3 linked regions of the Struthio camelus genome follow. The protein of the gene in region 2 purifies or fractionates together with the protein of the main gene of each other region. This does not show direct contact. Links are inferred from orthologs where the notes say so. Each region holds a gene or a part of one and is shown on either strand. Other genes may lie near its edges.

Region 1 (7,570 bases), on a different chromosome or scaffold from region 2:
ATAACATGCTATAAAGGAAGCGGTGGTGCTCATCCTGTTCCCCCAGCTAGTCTGAAGCTGCCAAGTAGAGCAACAGGGAGTGCATACACTGGGCACTGTATGACACTTGCTGCAAGTGTAGCTTCAGGTCCTTCCGCTGCAAGCCATCAGATGCTAGATCATTTGGCAGCTCACATATCTTTATTTACACAAACTGCTTTCTCTCTGAAAGACCAAAATAAGTGCTTCGTTAGCGTCCAATACAGAGCACTAGTTTCTAAGAGAAGATTCACATGGAGCTTTATGGAAAACTCCTGATCATAACAGCAGCAATAGTGCTGTTATAATAGGACTATTGATACAATGCAAGTTTAATTGTCCCAGTAGCATTCTTTTGAAAGGAATGTGCCCAGGATATTTTAAAAACAAGATAATTTTGGTGGTAATCCAGAAGTTTACTGAACACTGTAAACCATATCCACGTCCTTCCCCTACACACAGCAGCACATGCTTAGTCTTGACAACAGTTACATGATTGCTAGTGGTAAAACATCAACTTCTGGGTTAGAGAGGAACCCTTTATCCTAAAGGAATGAAATTAGCAGCAGAGGTTTGTTGTCGTTGTGCTATTTTTTTTTTTCCAAACTTGAATTACCAACTTTATACCCTAGTAACGAGATGATGAATCAGCAACTGCAATTAAGCTTACAGTCATGTATCCTAGGAAGGAAACAGCAGGCCAGCACGAGGAAGAGTCATTCATACACTAAAATCCTCTTCTGTTGTGTAAATTGGCCACTGGCAGCAGCTTCCTGCACAAGAAGGGCTTCCCCAGATGTGCACTGTATTTCAAAACCACACTGCTGCTGAGAGTCCTCATTATAATGGATGCTAATGAGATCAAATCCACATCCAAAGCAATTTGGAAGAAATGCCACCAATGAATCAGAGATATCTTTCTTTTAGAGAATCAATCAATTTGAAGCAGCATGGTGGCAGTTTAACGTGTCAAATCCTGTTGCTTAAAGAACTCTGTGTGTGTATAACAAAAATACACATTATTAATGGTTAGAGCCCCATACACAAAAAAAAACTCAGAGCCCAGAAAGGAAGCAAACAGAAATTCCATCAAGTCTTCGGGTAACAAAACATGAGTTTGAGTCATCTGAGTTCTGACACAATTTACACTCAAGATCGGCCTACCAAACAACAGGTACCCAGAAAGCATTACAGAATCACTGTACGCTCTTCCTCCGAGACTTTTCTTTCTCTATTGTATGAGCGCTATAACGATATCACAAGGATTCCAGTCTTCAGAAAAGCCTGCATGTCCTAGATTCTCATAGGTATGTTACCAACAGAAGCAATTCGGCCAAACACTTTCATTTCACATTGCATATATTACAAACCACGCACATGCTTGTCTAGCGCTAGTTACGTTAAAGCTGACATCAGCGTGCCCCACATCATGTACAGTACAAGCACACAGTAAGTGCTACTGTGATACTATTTTAAAGTCTGCAGCCAAGTGAGATCCAAGACAGTAGAGAATCACAGCCTCCCTTCTTCTGTTCCAATTTGATCATGCTCAAAAACTCAAAACACATAGGCCATCTTAAAAACATGATTTAACGTATATGTTAACTTGAAAACGTATCATATTAATGCCAGCACCACGTTTTCAAGGCGTTCAAAACAGCAGCATTGTATCATTTTCAGGCAGGTCACCATGCAGAAATACCTGCTTTCGTGAAAGAAAGCGGGCAACCTCTGTGAGGTTATCCTACTAACCTACATTACCGACACATTAGTATAGCCTAGTACCTTTAAAGGGCACAGAGTAAGTTAAGCAATAGGCAATAGCTATCTTAATATACAAACACAGCTGTATGAATATATCCTGACAACTAGAAATGCTAGAGAAGCCAGAGAAACATGAAGACTTTGGGTTAAGCCAGTTTTTTAATGGGTGGAGTGGGATTCCCGTAGTGTTCACACCCACTACGGAGCGGCAAATAAGCAGCTGCCCTTCCAATACCATTCCACTAAAATTCTTTCCAGTATGCAGCAGAATTAGTGGAGACATTATCCAAAATATATGTATCAGTAAAAAAAAAAAAAAAAAAGTGTCCTCATGCAGCGATCCCGCTAAACTCCCACAGCCTAAACTAAGGCACAAACAAAACAAACAAAAATCCCATAGGCCTCGCAGTACTAGTGTTCCCCTGACAGTTCCTCCAGAGACAATTTCGGTGAAATAGCCAGAACCACAACTCAGCAGGCTGCACAGAAAGCCGCTCGGAACGGCCCTAACAGTGGCAAAAAGAGGCATGCAAGTTCTTTCCCCCCCCCCCCCGCTTCCTCCTCATCAGACCGTTTTCTGCGCACTCTTCCAGCGCGCAGAGATGACAGGAGGGAAAATAAAGCAGCCCGTGCCGGCTGCTAAGCGGCACCCGCGCAGGCACGGCCGCTCGGCCCGGCCGGCCCCGGCCCCGGCCCGCCCGCCCGCCGCCTCCCCCGGCCCCGGCTTACCGCGATGAGCGTGCTGCTGCGGCCGTGCTGCTCGCCGCCCGCCGCCTCGGCGTCCAGCCCGTTGGCCCCGCTCCTCTCGGCGCTGCCGGCGGCGGCGGGCGGCGGAGGGGGCGCGGGCGGCGGCAGCGGCGGCGGGGGAGGCTGCCGGTGCTTGCCGGCCCGCTTGGCCTTGGCCTGCAGGCAGCGCTGGTGCAGGGCGAAGGTTTGCTGGCGCTCCAGCTCCAGGCGCTCCGGCGATACGGCCTGGTAGCGGGACTCGCAGGCGCTGTGGTGCCGCCGGCAGAGCTCGATGCGCCGGCGGAGCCGCTCCATCACCGCGCTGTGCCGCGGCACCACGAACTCCGCCATGGGGCAAGGGGGCAGCACCATGGACCGGAGCGCAAGGGGGGGGGGGTGGTGTGGGGGGAGGCCGCCGCTGCCGCCGCTCACCGGCTCCTCACGCCGCCCCCCGCCATGGCGGGGGCGCCGCGCAGGGCGGGCGCGGGGCTCCCCCCCTCGGGCCTTGCCCGGCCTCGCCGCCCGCCCCCTTCGCCGCCGGCCTTACCTGGGCTCGCCCGCCCGCCCGCCCGCCCACCGCGCCCCCGCCCCGGCCCCGGCCCCGACGCCGGCCCGCTCCCCGCGGCGTCCCCCCCGCCCCACTTCCTCCTTCTCCCCCGAGGCCGGTGCGGCGGCGCCGCTCCCCCTCCGCCGGCGCTGCGCTGCGCAGCGGCCGTTGCCCGCTCGCCCTCCGGCCCGGCCGCGGCCCGCTCCGCTGCCCCGGGCGCGGCGGGGCCCGGCGGCCGCTGCTCTCAGGCGCGGGCCGGCCCGAACCCCCGACTCCCCATTGTTATCCGCGCCGCCGCCATCTTGAAATTGTTTTTCCCCTCAAGAGCCGAGTTGAGAATAAATAGGCGGAGCTTCCTGGGTGGCGGGCGACGTCACGCTCGCGTCGCGCGTCACGAGCGCTGAGGGACATCGCCGCCAGCCAATGGGAGGGCGGGGGGGAGCGCGGAGGCGTGGGCGGGCAAGGCGGCCGGCAGGACGCGGCCGACGGCGCGTTTAAAAGGCAGGGGCCGGGAAGCGGCGGGGGCGGGGCTTGGAGAGAGGCCAATGGCGCGCGCCGTGGGCGGGGCCTGAGGAGTGAGTGACGGGCGCTCCCCCCCCCCCGGCCGGGCGCCCCCTCGCCCGGACAGAGCGGGGCAGCGACGCCCTCCCCGCGCCCCTGCCCCGAGCAGGCAGCTGTAACCTCTCTCTCTTTCCCTCCCCCCCTTTTCTTCAGGGCTTGTGGACAGCTGGGTCCCAATCACAACTTGTTCCCGTCAAAAAAAACCAACAAACGCGATCAAGACTTAAGCCCCTTCAAGCTAATTAGACGAGGCAGCCAAAGCGATTTCAGTTTCTTTATTGATTAATTTTACATTATAATTTATTCAGGTTTTAATATATGCATACTGCATCTACAGTGACCTTTTTGAAATGGACAGGTCTTTTGCACAGAAGAAGTCACAGTCCTTGTTTACGAACACCAAGGTTTTTTCATTGCTTTTTTTTTTTTTTTTTTGAAACCTTGAGGCAATATTGGCAACTACAGATTAACGAGGAAAGGCTTGAGGATGCGGAGACTCCTGGCAACAGCCCTGCCTGTGCCACCACCAGGTAAGGGGAGCGCTGCTTTGGCAGAAGGAGAACAGAAAGCGAGGGACAACCACAACCCCAGACCCCTCCACGAGCACTTGGCTCCTGCGAGGATCCCAACCCGACACAGACAGTCTCAGCACATTGTACAGCCCACATTCTCGAGCTGTGATAATTCAGCATTATCAGAGCTGCAAGGACAGCTCCTATTTGGTTATATTTCTAGAGCAGGTTAGTAGGCACCAACTCCCTTCACTGAGCACCAGGTTCCAGGACAAAAAAAAAAGAAAAAAAAAGAAAAGGCTTCAGCATTTCTAGTATCCTGTATTCCAGATATCTAACTGCCCATAAGCACACTTGATGTTTGTTCCTTCTTGATTAATCTCAGCCTAAAACCCCTCCCTCACCCCAGACACAGCAAGTTCAACTTCTGGGAGTTCATGCTCTCCAGCAGCTGCAGCCCTCACACACACACGCGCACCCCCCCACACAGTCAAATACACCTTCGCATACTTGAAGGTGTTTCAAACCTAGCTCACAGGTAGCAACCAAGCAGAGCTGCAGTACTTGGAAAACGCTGCCATGCTTTACAGGCATTCTTTATTCTGAATAAAGAGATAGCTACTTTTGCTCCAAGGAATTAAAAAAAAAAAAAGGCGATTCTAATGTTAAATTGAGCCACCCAAGTGAGAATGCAGGATAAAAAGTAACCTTTAAGTTGTCTATCCACTTTGGAAAGTCTTCATTTATTGTAGTGATTACTCAAGAAGCATACACTAAGGTATCAAAAAATGCATAACATGCAGACAGGAGACCTTTTCAGAAAATCTAGCACAAGCAAACGTAGGTGTACATAGTTAGCTTTACTATAATACTACTCAAAAAGCTGAGAGCAGATCTTAAGTTCATTTTTGATGCTTTGAAAGGAACATGTACGCACAAGAACTGTCCAGGAATTTAAGGCAATTTGCATATTAAGATAAAAAACACTGATTAGATTAACAGATTTATGTTGTGCTCAGAATTGTTAGCTGACTTGAAACCATTCACATATACTCCATCTCCAAGGACTGAGAGTCATAAATAGCAGCTGCTCCTTGATAAAAATACAGTCCTGAGAACAAGCTAGTAGCAATGCTTAAGCTATGACATCTTCCATGTCAGAGTATAAGCTATTTTGGCAAAAAGGAGCAGTATTTACCAGGTGTTCAACAGGCAAAAGGCATTCTAAACATGCAATAGCTCCCAACAGAAGTCTGAAATTACTTCCAGTATCTTGCTTACAATAGTTTATTTGCACACTGCAGAAAGAGCAAGAAATCCTGTTATGCATTTGTGGTGTCTAGTATTTCCAACACAACAAGTAAAGGATACAACATGAGGACAGGCAGCAAAAGGTGTTTCACAAAAAAAAAAACCCAAAAAACAAATCTTTTAGTAACTGGTTAGTCTGCAAGGTAATCAGAACACTTTCCTCCCCCACCCCCGGGAGTTATTCCCCACACAATACCTATGACCTAGCCCAAACAACACTGGAGTGTTTATATTCAGTGCAAGAAGAGTAATTTTAGGACATTTAATTCACTCTAAACAAAGGCAAAAAAAGCTTTCTATATGGACATCCAAACTCCAGCATATTTGGTACAGTGTAATGAAGCTACACAGATTCCACCCTCAGAGGTATGCTCTTGTAGTGATCACCTGCATTCCACAAAAAAAGTGTTTGAAACAGTATAATATTGTAGACTCAACACTTAAAAATTTATTCAGCTGGAATTGGAACTCCCTAACATTCACAATATAATTTAGGATGCGTTTGTTACATGAATAGCAGATAAAAAGACTCAAACAGTTTCACATACCAGGTAAGATATTCCACATGCTCCTTCCCCACCTACAAATACTGACATCTTGTTTGTGTTTGATTTTTCTTAGAAATTCAGTTCAACTTGCCTACCTGACCACCTCTCCTGTTTCTACAGGAGCAGACACACAGTGATAGCAGTGAGAGGATATGGGACACTGTCCTATCCAGTGTTCGGACCCTGGAAAGGAGTAGGCCTAGCTATGGAAAGTCTAACAAGGAGCTGAACATGACATACTTCTCAGCAATTGAGGCAAAGCTGCACTCGGAAAAAGCTGCACAGTCACAAAGAAAGGAGAGCAGTGGCTGAACAGAGGGGAAAAGGAAAAATAGTCTAAATACCCCCAATAACCCTTCAGCTTTATGGGAAGAGTTCAAGGACTAACAAAATCCAATTTCTGCAGGATTACACGCCACATTAAGATGACCTATTCCCCTATTCCAAATCCTAGATCATTCGTCAACACTTAAGTGGGCTTTAACCAGGACAATGCTCATAGTCCCTAAGACTGTCTAACTCCTTCCTTCCACCCCTTCTTTTTCCCCCCCCTCCCCCCCAAGAACAGAGTTGATTACAAACTTTACCTGCTAGTTTTCCCTCACGCATCCCACCCTGCTCCCAGTTTTTTTCCTTTGAGGGGAAAAGGGGTTGTCAGGTATATTGACAACTTTTCTTTAACCATAATTATCAAACTTTAAGGGATATAAAGACACTGGTGCATTTAGGAATTTACATGTTTGTAAAAAAAACTAGTTATAAAACTGCACTTTTAACATCTAGCATTTTTCAAGATTTTCATCATTATTTTTCACTAGTTTAATATATTAAATTAAGCCATGGTTTGAGACTGGCAAAATTCTACCAATCTACTTAAAAACAAAAAAAGTATTTAAAACCAAAATGAAAAGGTTAGTTATGTTACATTCCAAAATCCACAGCCCATTACATTAAATGTATTCTTTCTACAGGAATGATGTTCTTTTAAAACAGATGATTGCAAGATTTTACTGCTAGACACTCCATTACATTGGATAGCGTAACCAGAACCTGTGCATGGTGAGATCTTGAGGTTTGTCCAAGTTTCAATGTAAGGTGTCCAAGGTCCTCTCCCAGAACCAAGTTTGGAAAAAAAAAATTACAGATCAAGTTCTTATGATTTTTTTTTCTTTCAATCTTTCCTTGGCTTTCTGTTTCTGGGTGATCTATTCACAGTCTCCTCCTCCTGCAAGAAAGTAATTTGTGTCAGCAGCAAGGAAATCTAATCCAAGAGTACTCTTAAAAAGAGATGGGGGGAATCTACAAACAACTTAAATTCTAATGCAGAAATGAAAGTAACTCCTGAAAGAACCTACTGCTGTTATTACCCCCTCCTTTCCATACATGCCAACAGATGAATCCTCTGCTTTTCACAGTGGATGTCCATTATTCGCAAATGGTGTTTAATAGCATCTGCTGCTGTGAGAATACCTTAAGTTTCAGATAAGAAGCATTCCAACCCTTTTTAAGTTAGCCATTACGTCAGCGTGGAACACTTAAAAGGTCATATCCTGACTGCATACAAAGCTGAATAAGCCTTCCAC
Region 2 (7,948 bases):
TTAAAAGACATATTATGAGTTATCTTTTAGAAGACTGAACTAGGGATGGGACTCATTGTGCACAGAATAGATACAGGGTACTTTATACAAATGGGTGCAGACGGGCCTGTTGTCCTCTAATCTTTCTCCAAGTCAGCTAGATGTGAGGCAGTTGCCAAACTAGAAGCCAGATAGCAGTGTTAGCTAGTGCCCTGCCCAAAGGAATGAGCATAGGTCAAGCCCAGAGCCAGTGCCGAGCTGGAGAAAGTTTGGTCCAAACTGGTTGAACAAGCTGTTGAAATTGTGATCCCTTTTATTACAGCCTGCACCCAGTGCTCCCTGTTCCCATCTGCCATTTCTTCCCAGAGCTGTGCTGCTTGGGCTCAGCCAGGCAGCTCCTTCTCTACCATCTGATATGCAAAACTCAGGGCCAAAAGACCTGCTCCCTGTCCATATGGAGGGCTTGTTGCTATGCTGTGTGTCTTTCCTCCTCTTTCCACCCTCAGATCCTGAGAGGATGAGGTCACCATATGAATTCTCAGGTGAAGCTGCTGGAATCCACTTAGCAGGGAGCACAGACAGAGGGACCTGGGTCCGTCCACACCTGTAGGTGTTAGTGAACCCAAAGAAGCAGGAAGTGACCCCATCCCACAGAGTTTACAAAATGAAAGTAAAATTTCCTTACTTAATCGCCTTCAGTTTTCACAGGCAACTAATGATTCTGAGCACCCAACTGGAGTTACTTAGCAAAGCATCAGCTGAAAAGAGGGAACAGACTCAATGCTTGCTGAAATCAGGTCCTTCAAAGGTACCTCCAAGCTTTGTTTCTCCTAATCATTTTTGAAATGATAGGCCTGACTCAGAACGCTTCCCCTGGCTTCGGCAGGGCTTAAATAACTTTGTTTTAAACAGTCCAACCAGTGATCTGTGTAATAAGTACAAACTTCTAAAATGTGCAAACCTTGTATTTAAATTTGCTCTTACACCTCAACTCTGGAAGTATTTACCGTTCTCTACAGATCCGAAAGTGGGACCTGGTTCCTTGAGGTACTAAATGCTTTCGGTTGCCACTGAAGACAACAGAAATGGAGCACTCTGTACTATGGGATATAAAGTCTTTGAGCAACAAGAAGAAAATTCAGTGCCCGAACACTGGTTAAAAACCCTTTCAGTTTTTTTTTCATCTTTCCTTCTGCCAGACACTCACATAATTTCAGGCCATTGTCTTTTACTTGAATAGTATTCCTGACCTTTTGCACTGCAGATTGTTTATAATTAAAACGAAAAAAAAATTCAATAGTTATTTGTTTTATATTGTACCTCTGTCAGAGATGGAAGGAAGTACAATAGTTTCTGTAATCATTAATTCTTCGAAATAATATACTTTCTCCAGGATCCAATTAATTTTGTTATTAATCAAAACGTTTTCTTGGTAAAATATTAAAAGAAGTCTAGACACTGCATATTATTGTGTGCTATATTTTTAGATTTTCCAGTTTGATTCAAAACACACTAAAAGAGGGCCCCTAGAAAATGACCATCTAGAGAGAGTCTATGGCAAAAATCCAGAAACCATTCTTAATGGAATGGAACTAGCACGAGCTGAGATCATTCTTTAGCCTTGGAAAAAAAAAAAAAGATGTTTTTAGGAAGAGATTTCCAAAGGGATTATGATTTGCTCTCCACAAACAATACAGAGGATTTCCAGTATGCATTGTGCTTTTGATGAGAAGTGAGCCTATGAAGGAACCAATCAAAATCCTTTTATAACTAATGAGGAGGGGGAAATCACGATGGGAGAAGTGCCCTTAATGACAGCAAACAATAGGTGTTTGTACAGTGAGCAGTTACAGCAAACTTTGTGGTCAAGCAATCTCTTAAAACATGAGTTTACTCATCTGAGACATTATTCTTCATTGAATTAATATTAGCAGTAGAGAGAATACTTAAGAAAGAAACATCAAATCATATGAATGGAATTTCATAAAAAGTTATCTTTTTTCTTCATTTGGGAGACAGCAGAGGCACTAAGGTGAGGTAATAAAAATGACACAGCTTTCGGGAATCTTTGTGAATCGTCAGAACAATATTGTGTTTGTGTTTGAAGTTAGATTGATGATAGTAGACACAGAAAGAGGAAGTTGAACAGAGAGACAGGATAGAATCCTTGATGTAAAGGGATTAATTTTCAAACATAGTACCTATTGGACAATCAGACTTTGACCTTGAAATGATCATGTTCTGAAATTGATTCAAAATCCAGATTTTCTCTTAATGTCAAATGTTGGACCATATCCAGATAATTTTATACTTTCTCATTACCATGCCTACCTCCAGAGCTCTACTTGAGAGGTCATTACAAGGGTCATTTTATTGGCTGAACAGAGTCTAATGGACTCAAAAATTTGTATTTACTGGACAAATGTTCCTTAGCTATTTTGTGTGTGAAAGACAACAAAATTATGAAGATATACTTTTCAATTAAAGCCATTTAAAAGTGAAACATTATTTACATTTGCAAAAACTAACAGATCTTTCTAATCACGGTGCCTTTCCAGGCACCAAAATTTCTCCTTTTCCAATTCCCTTGAGTCTTTGAGCTTTGTATGAACTAATTTTTAAACTAAACTCAGCTAACAGGAACAATAAAAATATTTGGTCTGCACTTGTAGAGGATACAGCTATTAAAAGCAATGATATGGGTTCCCTCCAGTCAGTGGTTTGGACCTTCTTTAAAACTTGGGTAGGAAACACTCACTGCTAAACACTATCAAGTTGCGTTTATTTTTATATCATTTAAAGGATGTTGGACAGAGCCGGCATTAAACGTTATTGCCCAAACTTCCACAGTAACTTGAATTTTTTAAAGAAAATTCATTCTATATTGGAGAAAACGGGCTGCCTCGTAGACCCTAATCGCTACCCTCGGCCCCCCTCTGCTGAGGGCGGCCGGAGCCCAGCTGGGGCAGGCACCTGGGGCAGGCAGCGGGCTGAAGGCGGCGAGCCGAGCCGCGCCGCGCCGCGGCGGGGCGGGGCGGGGCGGGGTAGGGCGGGGCGGCTCCTCAGAGCAGCGGCGCGCGGCGGGGGGCGGGGCGGTTGTAACGGCCGGCGCGGGCAGCCGTTAACGGCCGGCCGGGGACGGCCGCGCGGCCCCCAGGGAACCGGCGGGGCTGCCCATGGGTTCGGCCCCCGGAAGCCACCAGGCGGGCGGCCCCCAGGCTGACTGACACGGACTTCCCACGCGGACGCCTCGTCTGCTCCTCGCGGAGGAGGAGGAGGAGGAGGAGGAGGAGGAGGAGGAGGGGGCGGCCGCAACTTCCCCCGCCGGCAGCTCCGGCGCGGGGGCTAGGGCCGGCGAGCTGGCCTCTCCCGGGCAGACCCGCCGTCGCCCCTGCGCCGCGCTCGGGCAACGACCTCTCTCCTCCCCTCCCTGCCCCGAGTGGTTTCTTCCGCCGCTGCTCGACCTCCCCCCGCATTGGTCTAGTCCTCCCCCCGCCGACTCGGGAAGACTCAGAAGCGGGACTCACAGGCAGACGCCGGGCAGAGGGAATCCCCCTTCCCTCCCCTGGCTCGGCTCTCGCGAGAGCTGCCGGCTGGCCGGCGGGGCTGGTGCCGTGCTCTCGCGAGATCCGCCCGGTTCCCACGCCTGCCACTGTTGTGTCTGAGGGGAGAGCCCAGGCGGTGAGTGGGCGGCGCGCGCCGCGCCCCCGCCCGGCTCCGCGTGTGTCTCACGAGCTGGCGCACGCGCGCTCCTCGCGCGGAGAGGGGGGCGCTCTCGCGAGAGTAGGAGTTTTGGCGAGAGTTTGTGGAAGATGGCGCCTGTTGTGACAGGGTAAGTGCGGGGGGTTCGCAGCGGCGCGCCGGGAGCGATCTGTTTCTGGGGGTGCCGGAGCGCCGGCCGCGCCGTCCCGCTCCCTCGGCCCCGCTGCCCCCGCTCCGAGGAAGAGAAGGCTCCTCTCCGGACAGCCCGGGGAGCCCTGAGGCACAAACCCCGGGGGGCTGGGGTCCCCCCGGGTGGGCGCACGGCAGAAGGCCCCCCTGCCCTGCCCTGCTCCAGGCGGCGGGCGGCCCGGCTCCCCGGCGGCTCCCCGCGGCGGGCGGCCCGGCAGGACTGGCCGCTTCCCCTTCTCCCCTTGTCTCCGGCACGGGCGGACCGGTCGGAACACCGTGCTGGGTCAGCGCTCATCCCCTCCGCCCCGGCGGAGTCCCTGTCTGCGGGCGGGCTAGCAGCGGAGCCCGGCAGGGAGAGGGACCCGCGGCCGGCACAGGCCCTTCTCCTGCCCCCTTCGCCGCCGCCCCGGCTTATCCTGCCGCAGGCGCGAGCCCCCGGGCCCCCTCGGCCACAGACCGCGAGCGGTCGGACAAAGGCTGCCGCTTTTGCGGTTGCGAGAAGTTGAGCTCTGTCTTCTTGCGTTGTCTCAGCCCCTTCGCGTAGCGGAGGCTGGCTGGAGGCCCCTTGCCCTCAACGTTGCCGGAGCTCCCGGATCGCTGTGAAGTGCTTTAGGTCGCGCTTGGTGCGAGCAGGCTTTGCAGTCTTGCTAGCAAGGCACCCGTTCCCTCAGGTCGAGGGACTGAAGTTCCCCTTCTCTCCTGCCCCCACCCTGTTCACCGTTCCCTGGGCTTTGGTGAGTTTTGTTAGTTGCCTTCCTACTAGTATTGCGTCGCACTGAAGGGTAGCAGCCTCCCCACCCCGCTAAGCCACGGTGGATCATAACGAATGATAGTTGCCATCCCTTTCAGCCACACTGGGTAATACTTAATCATGGCTAGCCAGCTGCAAAGTGTGTCACTGTAATAAGTGGCACCCTCCTAGCCACCTACAGCAGATGAATGATAACAGATTTGCTGCTGGTATACAGTACACAGTCTCACCTGCTGTGTTACATTGCGTATTGCTAGCCTTGCCACTTCTTGAATTCTGCCGCCTAGTATAAGTGCCCCCCCCCACCAGGCCTTAATTTTGGGCTACAGTGAATGCTTGTGACCTCCCTCTGTGTATTCAGGGAAGAGGCAGTCAGGAGAAGAGCGGGACATGTCTCCACTCCACCTGTTTGTTCCAAACAAAATCCTGATTGGTGAAAATATTGCTGTGTCCTTCTAAAATGTGGACCTAATTTGATGATTTTGCAGTGTGTCTGTGACCTTCTGTCTTCCCTGTGGGATTACATTGTCTTCAGCATTGGCTGTGTGGTTAGAGAGAGCAACAGCCTGCTTGGGGGTGGGGTGGAGTTGGTGGTTGATGCTTTTGTTCTCATGAAGAAGGTAGCATTATGGTATTTTGTTGTTTTATTTGGCCACAGTAGTGTTTCCAGTTCTTTTCTCTTGTTTGTCAAAAAACGAAAATCAAGCTTTTGCTTGATTTCTGTCCTGATAAAGGCATCTTGTGGCTCCTACACGTTTTCCTAATTAAATGTTCTTTAGGGAAGCGGGTCTTGTTTGTTATGGTTCCTGGAGCGTACAGTTTTAGAGGTTAGAGTGGAAAGAATGAAACAAATGCTTTTAAAGCTTTCTCTAAGTCTGTGCTCTAGTTAAGGATTAAATTTTTCCGGGTTTCTGTTCACTTACTCATCTGAATATGTGGACTCAGTTCCTTTCATTTATTGATTGTAAGAGGTTTGTGAAAAGTGATCTCAGGTCTATGACACTACTTTTATGCTGCTCAGAGATATGTTCAAGTGTTGAGAATGACCACTCGTGTGTTGTTTTTTTTAGTGAAGGACCAAATAATTTGGTAGAAAAATATAACATTTAACAAGAGTGAAAAAAATTGTCTATAGTTTAGGATTTAAATGCTGACGTTATTACTCAAAACTGTAAGTTGAGTAATTCTCTGAAAAAGTAGTCACATTGTTTTCTTATGATTAAGTATTTTAAGCTTTGGTAAAAACAGAAAATCTGTTAAGATTGATTAATGTTTATACTTGTATTGCATCAAGGAGCATAAGTTTTTATTTATGCTCCATTTTTGAAGTTCAGCTCTGATACTGAGTTGTTTGTGTATATTGGGATTAAAATTTGATGATAGTTCAGTAATGCATTTTTTTCACAAAATATAGTAGTCAGTAAAGACGTGCTTCTTTCCTAGACTTTTTCTAAAAAAAAATTAGAAGACTTCTAGTCTTTTTTTCTTTCTGTAAAAGCTGTGAATTGCATAGGAAGAGATTTGAAATTTAATTTAAAATTTAAAAAGCTGTAACTGAAGAACATCGTATCCAAATACTACATTCTATTTTAATGAGTGGCTTCCAAATCTTATAGGTGCTGAAACTTTGAGATAAAGCGTATGGCTTTTCTGTAGTCAGTGTAAGCTGAATGTACAAGCACATTTTTCCTGTAAAAATTGTATGCCTAAAAGTAAATTATGGTACATAGCGCAACCCTATTTTGGAATGAAATGGTAAGAATTCACTATGTGAATTGTCTTTCTGGGGGAGTCAGCGTTCTTTACCAGTTTCATATTTGCAGCATATTGTACGCTTCTTGTATCACGAAGAATGTTTGCATGTACAGTATTATGATTGAACCTAAATTTTCCGGTGGCAGAACTAGGTATAATGAGAAACTACAGAGAAACATGAAACAAGTCACTGAAAATGAACTGTTCACCTTTTTTTTTTTTTTTTTTTTTTTTTTGAAAAGGAAGTGGATAATTTACGCCTGGAATAATAGGATAGTATTTTGGGTTGCTATGGAGTATTTTTGTTTTTGCTTGTGAATGATTTAGGGAAACTCATCATTTTAAGACTACAGAATTATTGAAGATGTTATTTAACTAGAGATGCATATTTCCAGTATGAAACATTTTGTTTTAAATAAGTACTAGTACTATGGAAATACCTATGGGCCTCAGATTGAAAATCATTATGCTAGGCCTAATACAACCATATAACAGAAAGAATTTCCACTCCGAAGAACTTACTGTTATTTAAAATGAGGTGAAACGCAGAATGGTGTCTTCTGTGTCTCACTCTGTAGTCTCAGGCGACTTCGACGGGTTGAGACACTCTGTAGTCTCAGACAATACTAAAAAATGGTGCAGGAAGCAATTACGCAAAATCCTTGCAAAGATTCCTATGCCAGTGAACAAGTAAACAAAATTTAGAAAGTGTAAATAAAAATGGTGAATGCTAGACATAACTTTGAGTGTTTGGTTACCAGTGAAAGTTTTTATAGTAGCAGTATACAAGATAATATTTGGATTATTTTTCAAGAGGATTGAGAAGCCCTGGGAAAGAAAAAAACCAACTAAATGGTCTTATCGCACTGGTGTGATGTTTTCCATAGGCTCAGTAAGGCAGAAAATGTATGCGTGTGTTTTAATAAGACTTGTCAAAGTATCAGACTCTTTAAGCTATGTGTCTGAATTAGTCATGCCAAAGTTCTGTGGTTAAGAGGTGTTTCCTGAGCTTACAATTTAAGGGTAAAAGAAAGCACATTGGATCTATGATGATACAGGAGTATATTTGGTACCAGTGCAGTGAATTTTATCATAGTGGTAGTGATCTAGGCGTGCCAGCCATCTGGTTGTTTTGTATCTTTGTTTTTAGTGAGAACTTCTGAAAAACTGTTAGGAGGTTTTTGAGAGAAGATGGTACTGCTTTGTGGATGCTTGCATGGAGCTCTCCCAGTTATGAAGGCAGCACAAGAGAAGTATGGTGATGAAGACATAACAAACAAGTTACCAAAGCTTGCACCTCTTTGAAGACACAGTTCTGCATCTGGATTAATAATTTTAGGATGGAAATTTTGGTTAGACGTGAAAGTCATTGTAATAGCAGTATACGAGATAGTATCTGGATTATTTTTCAAACAGATTGAAAAGCTCTGAAAAAGACAAAACCAACTAAATGGGTTTATCACTGGTATGATGTTTTCCATACTCAGTAACGTAGAAAATGCATGCATGTGTTTTAGTAACATTTGTGAAAATATCAGACTAGTATCGGAGTAGGATGGGAAGTGAAAGGGA
Region 3 (7,255 bases), on a different chromosome or scaffold from region 2:
TACACTGTAGGTGTACCTGTGTCCGGTCCTGTCTCCTGGCTGGGCCCTGCACCTATGCTGTCGGTAGTCCTGTCTCCTGGCTGTCCTGACTGGACGTCCTGGACGGAAGCAACCTGACTCATTACCTCACCTCATCTGATGATCCCTGGACAGGCAATGAAAGCTGTTATTACTGCCACGGCTGTCCTGCTTGGGTGCCATGGGACTGTACCCCGCTCAGGGAGGTCACTCACTGCCGCGTTGATGCTGTGGTCACTCTCAGCTCCTGGCTCGTCCTCCCTCGTGGAGCAGTCCCCTTCTCGCTGCTCCCTGACAGCTCCTTCCCTTGTTTGCTCAATGGGTGTCAGACCCCTGTCGTGGGTAGGTTAGGGGTGCATTTACATACAAAGGGACGTTCATTTTACTTCCAGGGAGGCCTGGGTTTGCAGATACCCACTGCCTTGGAGTTCCTGGCAAAACAAGGTGCAGACACGCTCTTAGACCGAACCCTCATCAGAGGACCTCGGGGTGTTGCAGGGGCTGTTGAGGGGCACTGATTTTTATGCTTTTCTGTCTTGGGGTTGCCTGAAGCCAGTCGGAGGCTATCCGGAGAGGCGTTCAGCCGAGTGAGAGACTGAGAACGTCCTCTGTTGGGAGCACTCCGGCCTTCAGAGTCCGAATTGCTCTCAGGCCGTTTCCAGATGTAAGACTCGCCCTTATGATCTGTGCCAAGGTTTGCTAGCGCTGGCGATGCTGAGGCTCGTGGGTGGACAGCCCTCAAGGGCGTCTCCTTGGAGCGGGAGGAAAGGCTTGACTGGTTTCGGGGGGCGGATGACGGGCTCCAGAGCAGTGGACGAAGTTTGGCTACATCTTCTCTCTTCATCCAAGAAGCTGCCCAGGACGGATCCTCAGGCTTGGTGCCAAACAGGGACTCATCGCAATAGGATGGAGTGTGACTTTTCAACCTTTGCAGGGAAAAAAGCAGAGAAAAGCATGTTCATATTAAGGTGGGAAAAGACAGCAGCAGAGGCCTAACTGCCACGTGGAATCCAAAGGGGGCAAATCTTTGCTCCTTGCTCTGGATCAGCTGCTGAGGCTAAACCCCACTCCAGCCCCTCCCAAGGGCCGCTTAGGGCCAGCTGGGCTGTAAACAGGCTCCTGATCATTTGGACTGGAGAAAAGCGGACAGATAGGGTTTGCTGTATTGCTTTTCCTGAGCTGCTGGTTACAGAAAGGGGCACCAGGTTTACTAGCCCAGCGGGCTCTCTGGGACTGCATCTCAGCAACACGAGTCTACTGATGCCTAAAACACTTCAGAAAATCCCCTCCTCTGGGGAAAACTCCTCTATATAGGAGGAAACATCAGGGAAAAAGGGAAAATCTGGGATGCCTGGGCATCAGAGGCTCTCCGGACAGCTTGCAGAGGGGAAAACTGCAGCAGTACTCGACATACACGGAGATAGCGAGTCAGGGTACACAGCCGGACCATCTCCTGCCCCGCGTTCCCGGGAGCCGCTCTGAAGGCCGGCGCAGGGACGCGGACGGGCTCCCTCACCCCCGCCAGTCCCAGCCGTAGGTGCCGCAGGGTTTCCAGCGGGAGAGGAAAGAGGCCACTCACCTGTACTTGTTCCTTTTCCTGGGGGTGCCCTGCGGCGTGCAGGCGGCGGGTGCGGCGGCCTCCGCTTTCCACCTGGCCCCGGCCGCGGGCGGGCTCCACACCAAGGGCCTGGCGGGGCCGGCCTCGTCCGCCCAGGGAGGCGCGAAGTCCGGCGGCGCCGGCCGAGCCCTGCCGGGGCTGCCGAACAGCGTCTCGTCCACGAAGGACGGCCGGGCCTTCCCCCTGCAGCGGCTCCGGGGCTGCAGCCGAGGAGCCGGGCTGCTGGCGACGGCCGCGTTCATGGCCGGCGGGGCGGCGTCCGGCTGAGGGCATCGGCGAGCGGTCACGCGACTGCAGGCCATCGGGGCAAGACAGCGGATTAGAGGGATGAGGGAAAGGAGATCCCCGGGGGCTGCCGAGAAGGGCCTCGCTGGCGGGGGGGCATCGGGGCCCTGCCCGCGCCGGCCCGGCCCTCGGCCCCGGCTGCCCCTGCCACCAGCTCGCTGCAGCCCTGCCCCGCATCAGCCCTGCCCCCACTCGCCCCCGTCACTGCCCCCCGCTCCCCAAAATGCCACCTCACATCCCCCAAATCCCCCCTGCCCCCCAAACTGCCACCCCACATCCCCCCAAATCTCCCCTGCCCCCCAAACTGCCACCCCACATCCCCCAAATCCCCCTGATCACCTCATATTGTCACCCCACATCTCCCAAATCCCCTATCCCCCCCAAAACTGCCACCCCACATCCCCCAAATCCCCCTGATCACCTCATATTGTCACCCCACATCTCCCAAATCCCCTATTCCCCCCAAACTGCCAGCCCACATCCCCCAAATCCCCCTGATCACCTCATATTGTCGCCCCACATCCCCCAAATCCCCTATTCCCCCCAAACTGCCACCCCACATCCCCCAAATCCCCCGATCACCTCATATTGTCACCCTACATCCCCCCAAATCTCCCCTGCCCCCCCAAAACTGTCACCCCACATCCCCCAAATCCCCCTGATCACCTCATATTGTCGCCCCACATCCCCCCAAATCTCCCCTGCCCCCCAAACTGCCACCCCACATCCCCACATCCCCCCACCATCTCAAAGTGCCACATCACATCCCCCCAAACCCCCTGCCCATCCCAAACTGCCACCCTACATGCCCCAAATCCCCCTGCCCACCCCAAACTGTCCCCCCACATCCCCCCAAATCTCCCTTGCCCCCTAAACTGCCCCCATAGCCCCCTCCAACCCTCTGCCCACCCCACATCCCCCAAATCCCCCTGCCCCCCCAAACTGCCCCCCGCATCCCCCCACCCCCTGGCCCCCCACACTCCCCCCCCACATCCCCCTCAATCCCTCTGCCCCTCCCCGGACCCCCCCGCCCCCACCTGGCCCGGGCGCGGGGCCGCGCGAGCCCCGCCCCTTCCGCCCCGCCCCCGCCGCCCACGTGCTGCCGCCGGGGCGGGGCCTCGCCGCGTGCTTCCGCCGCCGCCGCCGCCGTCGACATGGCGCCGCCGCGCGCCCGCCGCCAGCGGGAGCGGCCCGGCCCCGGGGAGCAGCGCCGGGCGCCGCCGGTAGGGGGACGGGGGGGGTCGGTGCGCCTGGTCCCAGGGGGCCTGCGGTCCCCGGTGCCCCGTCTGCCCGGGGTCCCGTGTGCTCAGTGACCCCAGTCCCCCATGTCCCCAGGGTCCCCAGGGTCCCCCATCTCCCCAGTCCCCCCTGTGTCCAGTGACCCCAGTGCCCCATGTCCCCACTCCCCCATGTGCCCAGTCCCCCGTGTCCTCGGTGACCCCAGTCCCCCATCTCTCCAGTCTCCCGTGTGTCCAGTGACCTCAGTGCCCCATGTCCCCACTCCCCCATGTCCCCAATCCCCCATGTGCCACGTGTGCCCAGTGCCCCATGTCCCCACTCCCCCATGTCCCCAATCCCCCATGTGCCCCGTGTGCCCAGTGCCCCATGTCCCCACTCCCCCATGTGCCCCGTGCCCCATGTCCCCACTCCCCCATGTCCCCAATCCCCCATGTGCCCCATGTCCCCAATCCCCCATGTCCCCAATCCCCCATGTGCCACGTGTGCCCCGTGCCCCATGTCCCCACTCCCCCATGTCCCCAATCCCCCATGTGCCCCGTGTGCCCAGTGCCCCATGTCCCCACTCCCCCATGTGCCCCGTGCCCCATGTCCCCACTCCCCCATGTCCCCAATCCCCCATGTGCCCCATGTCCCCAATCCCCCATGTCCCCAATCCCCCATGTGCCACGTGTGCCCAGTGCCCCATGTCCCCAATCCCCCATGTGCCCCGTGCCCCATGTCCCCAATCCCCCATGTCCCCAGTCCCCCGTGTCCTCGGTGACCCCAGTCCCCCATATCCCCAGTTCCCTCTGTGCCCAGTGACCCCAGCCCCCCATGTCCCCAGCCCCCCGTGTCCCCAGTCCCCCGTGTCCCCAGTCCCCCATGTCCTCAGTGACCCCAGTCCCCCATGTCCCCAGTCCCCCGTGTCCCCGGTGACCCCACTCCCCCATGTCCCCACTCCCCCATGTCCTCGGTGTCCCCAGTCCCCCATGTCCCCAGTCCCCCATGTCCCCAGCCCCCCGTGTCCCCGGTGACCCCAATCCCCCATGTCCCCAGTCCACCGTGTCCCCAATCCCTCATATGCCCTGTGTGCCCAGTCCCCTGTGTGCCCCATGTCCCCGGTGACCCCAATCCCCCATGTCCCTAGTCTCCCGTGTGCCCAGTGTCCCCAATCCCCTGTGTGCCCAGTGACCCCACTCCCCCATGTCACCAGTCCCCCATGTGCCCAGTGACCCCAGTTGCCCATATCCCCAGTCCCCTATGTCCTCGGTGACCCCGTGTCCCCGGGGTCCCTGGTGCCCAGTATACCTGCTGTCCCCAGTGCCAGCATCCCCAGCGCCAGCGTCCCCAGAGCTGCTGTCCCCCCATGCTGTTGGGGCGCCTGGCCGCCCGCGCCCCTCCCCACGGTGCCGTTCCCTCCGCAGGCCCCCGGGTGCGCGCTGCCGGCCTTCCCCGCTGCCGAGGAGGCCACTGCTGAGCTGGACACCCAGGCCATGGTACGGGCCCAGAACAAGAAGAAGAAGAAATCCGGAGGCTTCCAGTCCATGGGTACGTGTTGGGGGCTGGGGGTGGGGGACCCTTGGAAACGGGGCCGTGCCGAGTCTGCTCCACGGGGCCCTGTCCTGCTTGTGTTGCTCCGTCACCTGCTAACCCCTGTCTTCTCCAGGCCTGAGCTACCCTGTCTTCAAGGGGATCATGAAGAAGGGCTACAAGGTGCCCACACCCATCCAGAGGAAGGTGAGCCCCCTCGGGGCACGGGGCACTGGACCGAGGGCCTCCGGGGCGATGGGTGCTGCCCACGTGGGGTGCCCGCTCCAGGCGGCGGTGCTGGGTGGTGAGGGCAGCGCCGCTGGGCTGTGTCTTGCAGACCATCCCGGTGATCCTCAACGGCAAGGACGTGGTGGCGATGGCACGGACGGGCAGCGGGAAGACGGCCTGTTTCCTCATCCCCATGTTTGAGAAGCTGAAGGCCCACAGTGCCCAGACGGGGGCCCGAGCCCTTGTCCTCTCGCCCACCCGCGAGCTGGCCCTGCAGACCATGAAGTTCACCAAGGAGGTACCGGGACGGAGGTGGTGCTGGCTGAGCTGGGATGGAGGGATGGAGGGCAGGGGAGGCAAGAGCTCGAGCGGTACCATTAACCTGTGGGGCTCCATGCTGCAGCAGATGATGTTGAATTATCACCAAAGGGTGAAGGACATCTTTATCTCTTAGTGCTGCTGATGATGATCAAGCGCTGTCCTTTGCCGGGGGGATCTGTGCAGTGCCGGGATATGACTTGTGGCTGCCGTGCATGGCCAACCCCTTTCTTAGAGGTTCAAGCTAATCCACGAAGGGAGGAGGGAAGAGCAGGCAGAAGGAAAACACGTTGCGTTGGTGCCCTCATCACCTGCCTGCTCTGCTGCGTCCCCAGCCTTGGCAGCAGGGCTGTTTGCTGGCATTGGAAGGGAACAGCCTAGGGATTTGTTTTGAGGCCGAATCTGCTTGTAATTCTCCCGTGTTTCTCCCTTACCCTGCAGTTGGGCAAGTTCACAGGCTTGAAGACAGCCCTTGTCCTGGGAGGAGACAAGTAAGTCATCCCCAGTGCCCCTACCAGTGTTTCTGCCCTTCCCCTAAAGCCCAGGCAGCCCTCCCGAGGCTTTCTGCAGGCACTTGGCCTGTCCCAGCTTCCCTAAAATGTGCTGAGGGCTGCAAAAATCTGCCAGATGTTGGGACTGGGCATCACAGTGGCATCTGGAGCAGGGTTCCTGGGCTAGATGGTCTGAAGTTTCAGCTGGCCATCAAAAGAGCTACTCACTTGCTCACGCGTGAGATCTCAGGGCTGAGGAGCTCTCCTGTGCAGTGGGTCCCTCTCCGCAGCCTCGAGCATGCAAAGTGTGGCCTGGAAGGATCTGGCCTTCGCCCCATGCCCTGGGCTGGCCCCCAGCTCTGCAGTCCCCAGTGGCTTGCCCGGGGAGGCCTTGCGAAGGCAGGCGGGCTGAGCTGCCCCTCTGCCGCCTGGCCCCGTCTCAGGCTCTCTCCCCTCTCGCAGGATGGAGGACCAGTTTGCTGCGCTGCACGAGAACCCCGACATGTGAGTCTCTGGGGTATCTGGAAGGGTCTGCGCTTCCCTGCTGATGTGGCGAGGAAACGTGTGCTGACAAACGCTGGACGCGCACCGTGTTGGGGTGATCCTGGGACCAGCTGCTGGACCTGGAAAGGGTGCTGCCTCCCTGGGACCCCCATGATGTCCCTTGGGTTACCCACTACCCTGCTGCTGATGGCCTGGTGTGGCCCCAGCGGTCCTGACTCGAGCCCTGCGAGCTAGCTGGCCCTGCTCCTGGTGCCATCCAAACACAGGCTGAATTCTGCCCTTCTGGCTGTGCCACCCGGGGATTGGCATCATGAAGGAGGTCACTAGAGATGTCTCTGGCGTTTACAATCACATCCCATGGCCATGTCCTAGGCTTTCTTCAGAGTGTCTTCCTGTGTTCCTTGCATGGAACCAGGGAGTTTCTGTCTGGTTGTCTTTGAGCCAGACTTGTGCTCTGGCACCTGGGAGGGAGGTGTCCCATCCTGCTTCCCCACGCTCGTCTCATGGCTGAGGTACGGACCGGCCGAGCATTGCGGTCTCTGTTCCTTGCAGAATCATCGCCACCCCGGGGCGCCTGATGCACGTGGCGGTGGAAATGAATCTGAAGCTGCAGAGTGTGGAGTACGTGGTGTTCGACGAGGCCGACAGGTCAGCGAGGGCCAGTGCCGGGGCAGAGCGGGGCCTGCTGGGCACTGCCTTTCCAGTAACGTGCTCGCTGGGATGAAAGTGGCTGGACTGTGGACTCGGGGGAGCTGTGTGCCCCATGTTTGGAGTGAGCAACGAGCCCTTGCAGGGGGTGGGAGACGCGGAGGGCAGGAGGTGTGCGGAAGGAATGAGGTGCCTTGGCTGGGTGGTGCTGGCAGGTGCCAGGAGGCAGGGCTGGGCATGGCAGGAGATGCCAGCGCTCTGATGTCCCGCGTTCCCTGTCCTGCAGGCTGTTCGAGATGGGCTTTGCAGAGCAGCTCCAGGAGATCATCGCTCGGCTCCCTGAGAGCCATCAGACGGTCCTCTTCTCGGCCACACTGCCTAAGCTGCTCGTGGAGTT

What was found.
Region 1: the proteins of RBPJ (region 2) and MAML1 purify together in Homo sapiens (co-immunoprecipitation; 12 studies listed by BioGRID and IntAct, counting the BioPlex papers as one, with this or other methods). This does not show direct contact. The link is inferred for Struthio camelus from reciprocal best matches to the Homo sapiens genes RBPJ and MAML1.
Region 3: the proteins of RBPJ (region 2) and RITA1 purify together in Homo sapiens (affinity purification with mass spectrometry; 4 studies listed by BioGRID and IntAct, with this or other methods). This does not show direct contact. The link is inferred for Struthio camelus from reciprocal best matches to the Homo sapiens genes RBPJ and RITA1.

The regions. Positions count from the first base shown.
Region 1 is NC_090954.1:6,929,640-6,937,209, reverse strand, and holds the start of MAML1 (mastermind-like protein 1), read right to left. Parts: upstream 3,006-7,570; 5' UTR 2,881-3,005; coding exon 2,512-2,880; intron 1-2,511. Other genes in the region: CANX (calnexin), read right to left, coding at 7,159-7,212. UniProt on the Homo sapiens protein: Acts as a transcriptional coactivator for NOTCH proteins. Has been shown to amplify NOTCH-induced transcription of HES1. Enhances phosphorylation and proteolytic turnover of the NOTCH intracellular domain in the nucleus through interaction with CDK8.
Region 2 is NC_090945.1:66,786,796-66,794,743, reverse strand, and holds the start of RBPJ (recombining binding protein suppressor of hairless), read left to right. Parts: upstream 1-4,938; 5' UTR 4,939-4,953; coding exon 4,954-5,054; intron 5,055-7,459; exon of another isoform or gene 7,460-7,841; intron 7,842-7,948. UniProt on the Homo sapiens protein: Transcriptional regulator that plays a central role in Notch signaling, a signaling pathway involved in cell-cell communication that regulates a broad spectrum of cell-fate determinations.
Region 3 is NC_090958.1:7,134,032-7,141,286, forward strand, and holds the start of RITA1 (RBPJ-interacting and tubulin-associated protein 1), read right to left. Parts: upstream 3,006-7,255; 5' UTR 2,959-3,005; intron 1,928-2,958; 5' UTR 1,879-1,927; coding exon 1,598-1,878; intron 945-1,597; coding exon 401-944; 3' UTR 1-400. Other genes in the region: ATP-dependent RNA helicase DDX54, read left to right, coding at 3,076-3,144, 4,564-4,687, 4,806-4,876, 5,007-5,195, 5,657-5,706, 6,169-6,210, 6,763-6,858, 7,145-7,255. UniProt on the Homo sapiens protein: Tubulin-binding protein that acts as a negative regulator of Notch signaling pathway.